Danio rerio: one gene and its partners. The protein of the gene in region 3 interacts with the protein of the main gene of each other region in a pairwise test. Links are inferred from orthologs where the notes say so. Each region holds a gene or a part of one and is shown on either strand. Other genes may lie near its edges.

Region 1 (4,111 bases), on a different chromosome or scaffold from region 3:
GTAGCATAAAACAAATTTTATTTTACAGTGTACCTACTTATTAAATGGGAAGTAGGACAATCTGAAAAGGTAGAAAAAGTTGTCAGAACACTGGGTTTTGGGTGGCCCCTGCCATTGGATACTATACCAAAGTTGCTGACCCAGGGGTGTTACAGACTACCAAAAAGCTGAGGACTGGTGGTGGGGTGAAATTACAGGAGTTTTCTGGTAAAAATAACAACATGGGAGGGTGGTGGGAGATGGGTCTGAAATACGGGAGTCTCCCAGGAAAAACGAGAGTGTTGGCAGTTATGCATTTGATTAACATTTTAAAACAAAAAAAGCCCCAAGATAATATTTCATTTTAAATATTTTGGGTAGAAAACATACAAATGAAGACACACAAGGAAAAATCTTCCAAGAAGTGTTTTTTTAATTATTTCATACTGTCACACCATGGATTAATTTAAAAAAGTTTTTTCCACTTAATAGTAACTTATCAAAAGTAGCGAAATGTTTATTAAAAAGAAATGTAATATTTTATTCAGTGTGCCATGAAATTCAACATAACCAAACTGAATCAACCAGATTCTCCCCTTAGGTAGTATAAAGTAACAAATTACAAATACTCAAATTACTGTAATTGAGTAGTTTTTCTCAGGAATTGTAATTTACTAAGTTGTTTTGAAAATGTGTACTTCTAATTTCCCTTGAGTATGTTTTTAGTGCAGTATCTGTACTTTTACTCCACTACTTTGCTTCAACCTGCAGTCACTACATTATTATTTCTTGTCTATGGGGATTAGAAACATCAGTCCTGTGATTCCTGTCCAATCAGAGCGCACACAGAAGGTAAATCGCTTCATAATGAACTACCTCAAGACATGGGAGATTTATAATTTCTGCAAACTGTTTGAAAGCACCAAAAGTCTCCAAAAAGATGTCCAAAATCTTTACACGCATTGACCCAGAGACTGTTTAGATGCATGTCTCTGATGAAAAGATAACAGATGTTTACTGTATGATAATCGAAATAGCCTTAAACACCAAGCAGGCACATGACGTCAGACTGGAAATAAAAATCGTGTAGAAATAAGAACTCAACGTCAGGCCAACGTCAATTTCCAACCTAAACCAACCAAATATCAAAGTCTAATGATATTACAGCTTGACGTTGTGTGGACGTTACCACTATGACATCTATCAGATGTTGGATTTTGGTTGCCATACCTGATGAATAAATGGTATCTTTTGATGTAAATATGAAGTTGGTTTAAGATGTTGGCTCAACGCTGAATTTGTCACTTTCTAACTTAACCTAAAATCAACCAAATATCAACATCATTTGACATCATATTGCACATCAAAAAACATCCTTAGACGCTGGCTAGATATAGAATTTTTGCCACCTGACATCACAGTCTAAATCTAACCTAATATTAACGCCTTATGGTGTTGTGTCTGGGCATTAACTAGATGCACTACAGAATGTTACGTTTACACACATCCACAAATTAGATGTAAACGCATCAGTTTTAAACAGTGTAATACTCACTAATCTTAAAAGGGCTACTTTTTACTCATTCTTTGAGTTATATTTACAACAGATACTTTTACTCGCACTACATTTTTAGGCAAGTAATGGTACTTTTATGTGAGTACGATTTTTCAGTCCTCTTTCCACCACTGCATGACACTAACAAGAAAACAGACTTTATGCACTCCAATGAAAAGCATTATAACACTTGTCTGAATTATTTATTTCGTGTTTATTGAACAATTTCTCATTAAACACATAGAAAAAGTAACTGTGTGAATTATTTCAGCCTTATCTTTAGCATATTTTTATAATATAGGGGAAATCAAACACTAATCGTGAGTATTTGATTGGATAAAAACTGGCAAGCTAAAATGTAGGATGAAGTCATCAAAACAAAACCATAACTATATTGGTGAACTTTTAAATTAGAATTGTGTCGTTGTTTTGGAGCATATTATTTTAAAGATAATCTTAAAACTTCAATACTGATTTCAGGAGGAGATGCATATGCTAGGGAAATACAAATGCACCACGTATCAGGACTAACCAGTGCAGTCAGAAAATGTACAAAACTGTTTTTGTTAACTTACCTCGGATAACTGGGCTCTGTAATGTGATTTATTGCACTGCAAAAGCTGTGCAGCAAGGTTACAGTCTTTTCTGTACAAGTCCTGTGCAGAGCGGGAGAAAAGGAACATTAGGTAATCTAAAGCAAACCATCCTCCAAAGGGTAGCCGCTAAGCCTCTGTGTGCAAAGGGAAATCACATAGTCATTATTTCTCTTACATTGTCCTCTCTGAGCTTCTCAATGGTCATCTTGGCTTCCATGAGATGATTGTTAAGAACGATGATTTCGCGACTGAGAGCCCGTTTCTCATCATCGTGGTGCTGGGACTAGATGAAAAGGAGAATGTTTTCAGGTGAGGAAAAAAAATGACAGATACACTGCAAAAATGTTTTCCTTGCGTAGATTCATGTCTTGTTTTCAATCCAAATATCTAAAAACTCTTAATTCTATAAGCATTTTTTAGACAAGCTAAAAATTAGGTCTCATTTTAAGAAATATTGTCAAAATTAAGTGAGAATTTTTCTTAAAGCAAGCACAACAATCTGCCAGTGGGGTAAGCAAAATAATCAGTTGTCAAAAAGAAAAACATGAGTATTTTGATTACCCCATTGCAGGGCCGGAGTGGGACTCCTTTTCAGCCCTGGAGTTTCAAGCCTCAGACCGGCCCACTTCAGTTCACGACTGACTATAATAAAATAAGGTCATTTCCAAATCAGTTTCTAATGACACTATCACGTCATTTTTTGAGAAAAGAGCTGCTTTAGAACTTCAAATGTTCAACAACCCTAACAGTATCATATGTCTTAACAATAAAAATGAAAACAAAAAGTTACTCTAACGAGGGTCGAACCCGGGTCCGCGGCGTCTTAATCTAACGCACTAACCGCTGGTCCACAATAATGGTGTGTAGATAGGAGACAAAACTGAGTTTTATAATCATTAAAATAGATGAAAAGAGAAGAGTTGCGGTAAAATAATGAATAAAAAGGCTGTGGTCAAGTAAATAAATAAATTTAAAAAGTGTGACTGCAGAGAGCAACAGATTCTGCAGCTAGGGACACCGGCCCTCGCGGCCAAAAAACGGACCGGCCCACCGGGAATTCTCCCGGTCCTCCCGATTAGCCAATCCGGGCCTGCCCCATTGGCATACCTGTCAACCCTCCTGTTTTTCCCGGGATTCCCCCATATTTTACAGTTCTATCCAGCTATCATCTCGTAAAGGTATTTTCCCGTATTTCTACCATATTTTCAGTCTTTCTCTGAAGGGTGGCAAGTAGACATTAAAGAGCCGATCCTCCCCATACACAACCCATACCGCCGAACCACCAGGGGCTGCCCCTCGCTCATAAATATGAGTCTGTTCTATGCTTTCGATTTGTTTAGGCGAGAAAACACTTTGAAATAAATATAAAAAAGATGCGATTCCCTTTCTTTTTATTACAGGTGCCGTCACCCCTCATATGCTATCCTCAAAACAGTAAAAATTGCTTTGGTGACTGTCCAGCCTGATCTCACAAGAAAATGTAAGTATTTTACGTTTTGGCAGTTCAGTGGCTAATTCGTACAATTCGTACGAGTTCAGTCGTAAGAAAATGTATGATTTTAAAAAGGAGGCGTGGCACCTTACCGCACCCCTAAACCCAACCGTCATTGGGGGATACGCAAATCATACTAAAATGTACGAATTAGATTGTGCGAATTTGTACGAATTAGCCACTAAATGAAAAAGTTACGAATTGCCGTGAGATTGTGTTGGACTGTCAGCTTACGCACTCCATAGTGATAAATAGACGCTGTTTCCCAAACGGATTCTGAACAAGCCAGTCTGGGTTTTTGGTGCGTTCTTAAACAGACATATACACATAATCAATAATAATAACATCTAAAGATGTCAATCTTGGTGTTTTTTTTTTTTTTTTTTTTTTTTAACACAACTAATTTCATCTTAAATGAGCATAAACAGTTAGGAAAGAAATCGAATGCTTTCATTATATTGTTAGATGTGTGCATTTTTAAAGTGACAC
Region 2 (4,111 bases), on a different chromosome or scaffold from region 3:
TAAAACATGATCATGCCTTGATTTTTAATTCTTTAATAAGGTCAGCAAGGTCTGACTTTGCTTATACAAAAGTCTTGTCACTTAACAGAAATAATGTGCAGTATATGTACAGTAAGTCATGGTGCAGTGGAAAGAGAATTAATATTGTGTATGACTCCCATGAGCTTGAACAACTGCATCCAAACATCTCTGCAATGACTCAGATAACTTATTAATAAAGTCATCTGGAATGTCAAAGAAAGAGTTCTTGCAGGACTCCCAGAGTTCATCAAGATTCTTTGGATTCATCTTCTGCGCCTCCACCTTCATCTTACCAGACATGGTCAATAATGTTCATGTCTGGTGACTGGGCTGGCCAATCCTGGAGCGCCTTGACCTTCTTAGCTTTCAGGAACTTGGATGTGGAGGCTGAAGTATGAGAAGGAGTGCTATCCTGCAGAAGAATTTGCCCTCTCCTGTGGTTTGTAATGTAATAGGCAGCACAAATGTCTTGTTACCTCAGGTTGTTGATGTTGCCATCCACTCTGCAGATCTCTAGCTTGGTCCATACTGAATGTAACCCCAAATCATGATTTTTTCTTCTCGAAACTTGACTACTTTCAGTGAGAATATTTGGTCCATGCTGGTTTCAATAGGTCTTCTGCAGTACTGATTCATCTGATCTGATTCATCTGAAAAATCTACCTTCTGCTACTTTTTCAAATGATCAACTAGAAGTCAAGTTATAATTCGTTGCTCTTACAACTGGGATTGACAACAAGACTTTTGTCAGGTAGTGTATAGGCATGCACCTTTTCATAGCATTACCTGTCCCATTAAAATCCTTCTTGCAACAATGTCAAAACGTTGGTTAAGCTGTTCAAGCTTTGGTTTCACTTGAGCTTTACAATGTTCCCCTGTGTTCTTTATAAGATCCTCTGCTAGAACTTGCACTGCTTCAACTTTCCCCTTCATCTCCTCCAACTCCATTCGCAAACCCTGAACATTCAGAAAACACCAACAAATCAGTTATGAATGATGCATTTAGAATAAATGCTATAAATCTGATTAATTCATAGGTATTGCAAAAAAAAAAAAAATACAATTACACTTGACAATTAAAAACTCAAAAAAAATATTAAATTGCAGTAACAAAAAAGTAAGTTATGAGAACTACAAAAAAAGTTATAAGAACTAGAAAAATTAAGTTGCGGTAACTAGAAAAAAAGTTGCAGTAATTACAACAATTAAGTTTTTCTAACTACAAAAACTAAGTTACAGTATATTACCTAGAAAAATTGAGTTGCATTAGCTAAAAATTTGAAGTTGTGCTATCTACAAAAATGAAGTTACAGTATAAGACCTAGAATAATTGAGTTGCATTAGCTAGAATATTTAAGTTGTGCTAACTACAAAATTAAGTTACAGTATAAGACCTAGAATAATTGAGTTGCATTAGCTAGAAATTTTAAGTTGTGCTAACTACAAAATTAAGTTACAGTATATGATCTAGAATAATTGAGTTGCATTAGGTAGAATATTTAAGCTGTGCTAACTAAAACATTAAGTTACAGTATAAGACCTAGAATAATTGAGTTGCATTAGCTAGAATATTTAAGTTGTGCTAACTACAAAATTAAGTTACAGTATATGATCTAGAATAATTGAGTTGCATTAGGTAGAATATTTAAGCTGTGCTAACTAAAACATTAAGTTACAGTATAAGACCTAGAATAATTGAGTTGCATTAGCTAGAAAATTTAAGTTGTGCTAATTACAACATTTAAGTTAGAACTAACTAACTAACGAAGTAGTTTTTTATTATAGTTACAGCAACTTAATTTACTGGTTTTTATAATTAAATTTTTCTAGATTTTCTAGTTTTTATCACTTGTTACAAACAGAAAAAAAATTCTACTTACTGTAACTTAATTGTTCTGGTTATTGCATTGCAATTAAACATTAACAACTATTAAAGATTATAATGCTGAACAAACATTGTTCGCCTTCAGTTCATGTTAACTAATCCATCAACTAACATGTTATTATATGTTTAGTTACCATTAAAGAATAAGTAATGCTTAACAAATGTGTTTTTCGTCATTGATACATGTTAACTAATTCATTAACTTACACAAATTGTAAAGTGTTACCAAATATTTAGGTAATAAGTTACAAAAGACGGTTATATTTAATGTATAGATGGTACGGATGAATGATGATCTGTATTCTAAATCTAAAATACAATTTTTTGGCCATCTGTCTGTTTTGTTCTCCTTAATGGCTTAATCTAGAGTTTTATTTGCTGCAAATTGCCTCCAATTAATGAGCCATCAAAACATCATTGCCAAAGAAAGATGGATAACTTTTCCTTTAATTTGATGCAAAAGTATGGCTGCATAAAACCGTCTCTAGTCCTCAAAAACAGAAAACATTCGGTTGTGAAGTGCAGAAGCATATTGTGAGTGTCTGAAGACCTTTATAACGTGCTCAATGCAGCCCTGGCTGTCCATCTCATCCAGCTTCTCTTCTGCGCGATCCATCCAGGTGTTGATCTGAGAAATGTTCTGCTCAAGTGTTTTCATTTGATTTTGATAATCCTGCATGGCAGATGGAGATACTGTATGTTTACATTCAGCTTCGCTTAATAGCATAAAGAAATATGCTCCATAACAGGCTGTGATATTACAGTAGATGCTACGTTAAAGTAAACGTTTATCCAAAAATGTACTGTCTGTTATTATTTATTCACGGTTGTGTTCTTACAAACATTGCATGTTAAAAAAACAGCGAAACATACAGCTTTGAAAAATAGAAACAGCATCAGAGTTAATTTTGGTTCTCTGAGTGGCCATTAACAGATACATTCACCGGGCACTTTATTAGGTACAACTTACTAGTACCGGGTTGTAAACACGTTTGCCTTTGGAACTGCTTTAACCCTTAATTGCACTTAATAAAGTGGCCGGCGAGTGTATGTGTTAAATGTGTTTTATTTTAATTATCAACTACTAATAGGGTTTCTTTGAAACTTCAGATGAGAACCGTATCATCAGCAGAAATTACAACAGGACAATATAAAATACTGACTGACTACCAAATAAAAATAAATCATGCATAAATCTTAACTTAATTACACTGTATACGTTAGAACTGCACACTACTGGAAAAATCGATATTGTGATATGATTACCATTTTAGCAGAAGACTTGAATACTTCGATTTGGAAAGGATTAATTATTTTAGATTGGTTCGGTTGAGATAAGAAATGCACCTGACTAAAATATAATTAACCACCTTCAAGCATAGATCAATGCAATAAAAAAAATACAAGATACGACTGAATTTTTTATCTTTTTCCGAGTCTAATAGTCTTCTGGTGTAGTAACTAAATAATAATAATAATAATAATTCAATAAAATGAATCTTTATTAAAGTTACAAACGGTACCGTTTCTTGGCCGTGAATGCAGTCAAAGGCTTAAAAAAAACATGTAAATTCTGGCTTATAATAATAACATAATAATATAGACTCAACATTGCATATCGTACGATGTGACAATTGCGAATGATCACATTGCGATACCGATGCTGAAACAATATATTGTGCAGCCCTAGAATGCCATATTATTTTTTAATAAACTCTGATATACACCTGTGAAACATTAGACTTTCTTCCACTGCATGCAAAAAATTGAAAAATATATTATTAAACATTTTCTTTTTGTGCTATGTGGACATATAAGGTAAATAATATATAAGTTAGAAAACATTAACAGAATCTTCATTTTATGAATTTACTTTTATTTAATCCTTTCATTTTAGCTTCAAGGCTAAGCCTCATCTCTTGACATGTTGTCCCCAAGATATTTATAGCTATTTACAAAGCGGAATAAGGTAGAAAACATAGTCAGAAAGATAAAAGATGAGATGTGGAAACGGCGAGCAGTAGAAAAGGTAATAAAGAAGAGCAGGAGATAAATATGCTTTAAAGTTTCATAACATTATTGCCGCCTCCAGAAATGGCCATCTGGATTTAAAAGAACAATATGGAGATGTGAAATTGAAAGGAAATGAATTTAGCCTTGTAGGGCACATTTAGCTTAAGAAATATTTTGCCTACAATGAAATGA
Region 3 (4,548 bases):
GTTGTGGTCTAGCGTGCTCAACCCGTTGTCGCGAAAAGCTTCGATCATGTTCCACACATCCACTAGGTGAACTGCGACAGGAGAAGTAAACAGGTGAGATGATCCAAAACAGTGTTTCCCAACTCTGTTCCTGAAGACACACCAACAGTACAGATTTTGGATGTCTCCCTTATCTGACCCATTCACTTCAGGTTTTAGAGTTTCTTCTTAAGCTCTGGTGAGTTGATTCAGGTGTGTTTGATGTTACATGTGTACTGTTGGTGTGCCTTCAGGAACACGGTTGGGAAACACTGATCCAGAATAAACAATGGATGTATTTTGTTGATTTTCCCAGCACACGAGAACAAATGTACTTGCTAAACAAGGGGATTCAATGATACATTCAAATGAAAGACATGACAACTTACGGTTGCAGCGTTTCTGGACAAATCGTAGCTTACATGCTGTCCTGTACGTTGAAAGGCGAATGACATCAAAGTTTTGAGCCCCTGGGTAAAATTACATGCATCAGATTTGTCACTTTCACACACAAAATTAAAATGTTGACATTATTTTATTCACTCTTATGTTGTTTCCTTTATATAAGACTTTCTTCTTCCATAATATAGAAAAAGAGACAATTTGAAGAATGTCATGGCTGCTCTTTTTGCACCAGTATAGTGATAGCTACCTGTTAAAGTCCCTGTAAAATCAAAATAAAGCGTTTAAGAAGTTAGTATCAATACGTTTAAGTCTTAAGGATATCTACAAATGAGTGTGCTCCAAAACAGTGATTAAATTTGCATTTAGAAGATATAATCATCCAAAGCTTGAAGTTTGTCACTTCTGCCGTCCTTCAGTTTTTCATCAGTTCTTTTGACCAATCAAATGCTTTTTAGTATCTGAGTTGTCCTGCACCTTCAAGACACCAGGGATGCAACGAGTAACGGATTTCACTGTTAACCACGCTTTAATTCGTCACGGTTAATTAATCGTAAAGGCTTCTCAACACCACGTTTCTGCGTGGAACAAAACTGCAACTAAACAAAGCTATGCCAAATGTGTGCCACTAGTATAAAGTTCCGAGCTTGTACACAATATGTGGTAGGCATGGGTCAGTATAAGATTCTGACAGTATGATAACCTTGAATAAAAATATCATGATTTCATGGTTTGACGGTGTTGTGATTACTGCTCTAAAACATGTTCTTTTTAAATGTCTGGGTAAAAAACTAAACCTTTTCCTCCTGTGAACACAATCGATCTTATTTTGAGAACTATTTAAAATATTTTGGAACAGTAAACATGTCAGACTAAATAATTCAAATGAATCATCTTCAACTAATCTTCATTAGTTTTAAAAACACTGATTTCTTTACAATTTAAAACGGCTTCTTTAGATTTCTTTTCTGCTGGAGATACTGTTGTCCTCAAAAACTTAAAAAAAAAAAAAAAAAGTTAATAAAAAAGCTTGCATATACCATAAGAACGGTATAGCAGAAAATGTTGCCAGTTTTAAAACCTTGACTTGGCCACGGTATACCAGTATGTATACATACTGGATTAAAGATTTTAACTTTGGCTGAGACTAATAAGGGCCGTTTACAAATCCTGTGTTTTGCAGGCGCAAGTGTAACGGAGGCCAGCTAGTGTGTGCTGTGCAGGTAAACCTCACTCCTCTGACCTCTAAAAGGTGCTCTAGCGACAGACGCTAGAGGCCATGGTCTTTAGCCTCCTTGGTAGAGCAACCGACTCCCATGCGGAGGGTCGCCAGTTTGATACCAGCTTGGGGCGGGTTGGGTGGCGTAAGACCGACGGGGTTTCACAAGTTCATTATTTTTTTTAATGGAGGTGCACGCATATTGATATTGCAAGTCATGTGACAAGAATTGACCAATCAGCTTCAAACTTTGTATGAAATATAGACATTTCTAAAAAAAAAACACAATACAAAAGAAAAATACCAAAGAAGTTCATAATATAGTTGATCAATAGTGCCTTTCAGACCGAAGTTTAGCGGCCTTTGACTGCATGTGTTCTCTTATTTTTATTTATTTATTTACTTATTTATTTATTCATTGTTCTGTCATTTTTATTTTCACTGTAAAATTATTAATTACGTTTAAATGTAAAAACTATTTCATTGTTTTCATTTTTTATATTGTTTGTTTTTGTTGTGCTGTATAAATAGTTTACAGAGCAGCAATAAATAGCACTTAAAAAAAAAACTTTAAGTTTTCATGGGATTTTCTAAACTAGTGTTTTGAAATGAATGAGTGCATAATAATCGTGATAACCATGATTATCCCTTAGACTATAAACGTACAACCAGAATCTGTAATCGTTGCATCCCTACCTCTCATTTGCTTTTCATTTGATGCACTTAAGCTAAACTACTCTCACTGGCAGAGCTGTGATGAAACGCAATGCTATTGGCTGTTTTTGGGAAGAAGGGAAACTGATATTGGCTAAAGGAAAAAAGCTTCTCTTGTCCCACCCTTGAAATTATGACACACATGAAACAAAAGAGCAGATTTCAAAGCACTTCACGGGACCTTTAAATACAGTATCCTGTTTTAAACATTTTCATGCAAATCATTAAAGTAAGTGAGGTCAAATGAGGTCATTTCCCAGTGATGACATCAAAACATAAAGGTAAGCAGCCATGTATTTTACTCAGAAGCTGAGTGTGAAATTGCAAACTACTCAAGTAAGTTATTGAATTTGAATGTATTTCCAAACTGTTAAAAAAAGATAATCACATGACCAGTTGTATTGCATCCTCTATGGCCTTATAATATAGTAAAGTGTGTGTTGGATACACACTTCAGGAATTCATTGATGTAGTGTTTTTCAATAGACAATTTTTTTAAAAGTGCGTAATGGCATGGAAAAAAAAATTCAACAGCTATGTAACATTTGTACTCGCTATAAAGTACAAATCAGACACAGAGGACAGATTTACTGGGACCTGATATGGGGTTTTCTCAAAATTAGTTTTGCCTTCCGAACAGAGACACTAGTTTGTCCCAGTCTACTGCCCTGTGGCACTGAAGGGCGAATAGGATTCGACAAAGCCTCTGTGTGTGTGTGTGTGTGTGTGTGTGTGTGTGTGCGTGTGTGTGTGTGTGTGTGTGTGTGTGTGTGTGTGTGTGTGTGTGTGTGTGTGTAGTGTGTGAAAGCAACTCACTCATCTCCATGAAGAGCTGTCTCTTCTCCACCATAGACTTGCTGCTTTTACTTCCCTCTTCAATCATTCTACACAATACAAAACGTCCATTTAATAGCACAGAAGACAGAATAAGGCAAAACTCACGGTAAAAACTAAACTGCTATTTGAATATTTGTCGGTAAATCGATAAAGAAATTGCAATCGCAACATAACAATCTCGATCTCTGTCTCAATCTCTGCGAGAACCATGTCAAATTTTCAACTGTTCACTGTCTATATAAACATGCATTCACATAGCAGCCTTTAGCGATTAGCTAATCGCAATGTTATAGGATTTACCAAAATTTTTTATTATCATAAAAACCGAGATCGATTATTGTTATTTTGAGAAATTATGGTAAATCCTATAACATTTCGATTAGCTAATAAAAATAAAACTGTATAATGTCTATACTATATAAACATGCATTTACAGTACTCTAGCGATTAAATAATCGTAATGTTATAGGATTTACCTTATCATTTGGATTTGGATTTACCACATCATTTGGAAAATATTTTAAAAAGAAAAATAAATTCAAAGGGGGGCTAATAATTCTGATTGCAACTGTACATAATAAATATACACAGTAAAAGCACTTAAATTATGTCAAAACTCATCCCAGTTACAAAACTTGGTGGAATGCATTAACTTTGAAGCCAGATCAGTCTCAAAAGTAATACATCTGCAAAAATAAAACTCATGCATACACAACCATTCACATTCAGAAAATCCAATTCATAAATTCAAAACACAACATGTGAAAATTTTATAAATGTTTCCCCAAGGGAACGGGATGTGTACATTTAAGAATTGTGTTTTGAATTTACAAATTGTGTTTTATATTCACGCATTGTGTTTTGAAATCACAAACTGGATTTGCATATTGGTAAATTGTGTTTTGGATTTACAAATTGGATTTGCATATTCGTGAATTACATTTTGAATTTACGAATTGGATTTGTGTATTAATGACTTGTTTTGCATTTTCGAATTGTGTTTTGTTTATGTATGAACTTTGCTTTGAATTTATGAATTATATTTGTGTATTTATGAATTGTGTTTTAAATTTACAAATCGTGCTTTGTGTATTTATGAATTATTTTACTTACTAACGTACTGCCAAGGCCATTTATATCGAAGTTGATATTTAGCCCCACCATGTTGGTGTTTTGTAACATCTAATTTTTACGAGGTGGGTCGTTAGTCCAACGCTCAACCCCCAACCTGGAGGACCAGGACATACACACATACACTATGGAATATTTAGCTTACCCAATTCACCAATTCCTCTTTGGACTTGTAGGGGAAACGGGAGCACCCGGAGGAAACCCACCCCAACACAGGGAGAACATGC

What was found.
Region 1: the proteins of dtnbb (region 3) and si:dkey-174m14.3 interact in binary tests that used the Homo sapiens proteins (3 or more experiments, as listed by UniProt). The two-hybrid records come from large-scale screens. The link is inferred for Danio rerio from reciprocal best matches to the Homo sapiens genes DTNB and BEGAIN.
Region 2: the proteins of dtnbb (region 3) and dmd interact in binary tests that used the Homo sapiens proteins (3 or more experiments, as listed by UniProt). The link is inferred for Danio rerio from reciprocal best matches to the Homo sapiens genes DTNB and DMD.

The regions. Positions count from the first base shown.
Region 1 is NC_133195.1:9,575,210-9,579,320, reverse strand, and holds part of si:dkey-174m14.3 (uncharacterized protein LOC563117), read right to left. Parts: intron 2,414-4,111; coding exon 2,306-2,413; intron 2,191-2,305; coding exon 2,110-2,190; intron 1-2,109. UniProt on the Homo sapiens protein: May sustain the structure of the postsynaptic density (PSD).
Region 2 is NC_133176.1:12,343,564-12,347,674, forward strand, and holds part of dmd (dystrophin), read right to left. Parts: intron 2,580-4,111; coding exon 2,457-2,579; intron 979-2,456; coding exon 808-978; intron 1-807. UniProt on the Homo sapiens protein: Anchors the extracellular matrix to the cytoskeleton via F-actin. Ligand for dystroglycan.
Region 3 is NC_133192.1:39,015,553-39,020,100, forward strand, and holds the start of dtnbb (dystrobrevin, beta b), read right to left. Parts: upstream 3,237-4,548; coding exon 3,170-3,236; intron 489-3,169; coding exon 408-488; intron 72-407; coding exon 1-71.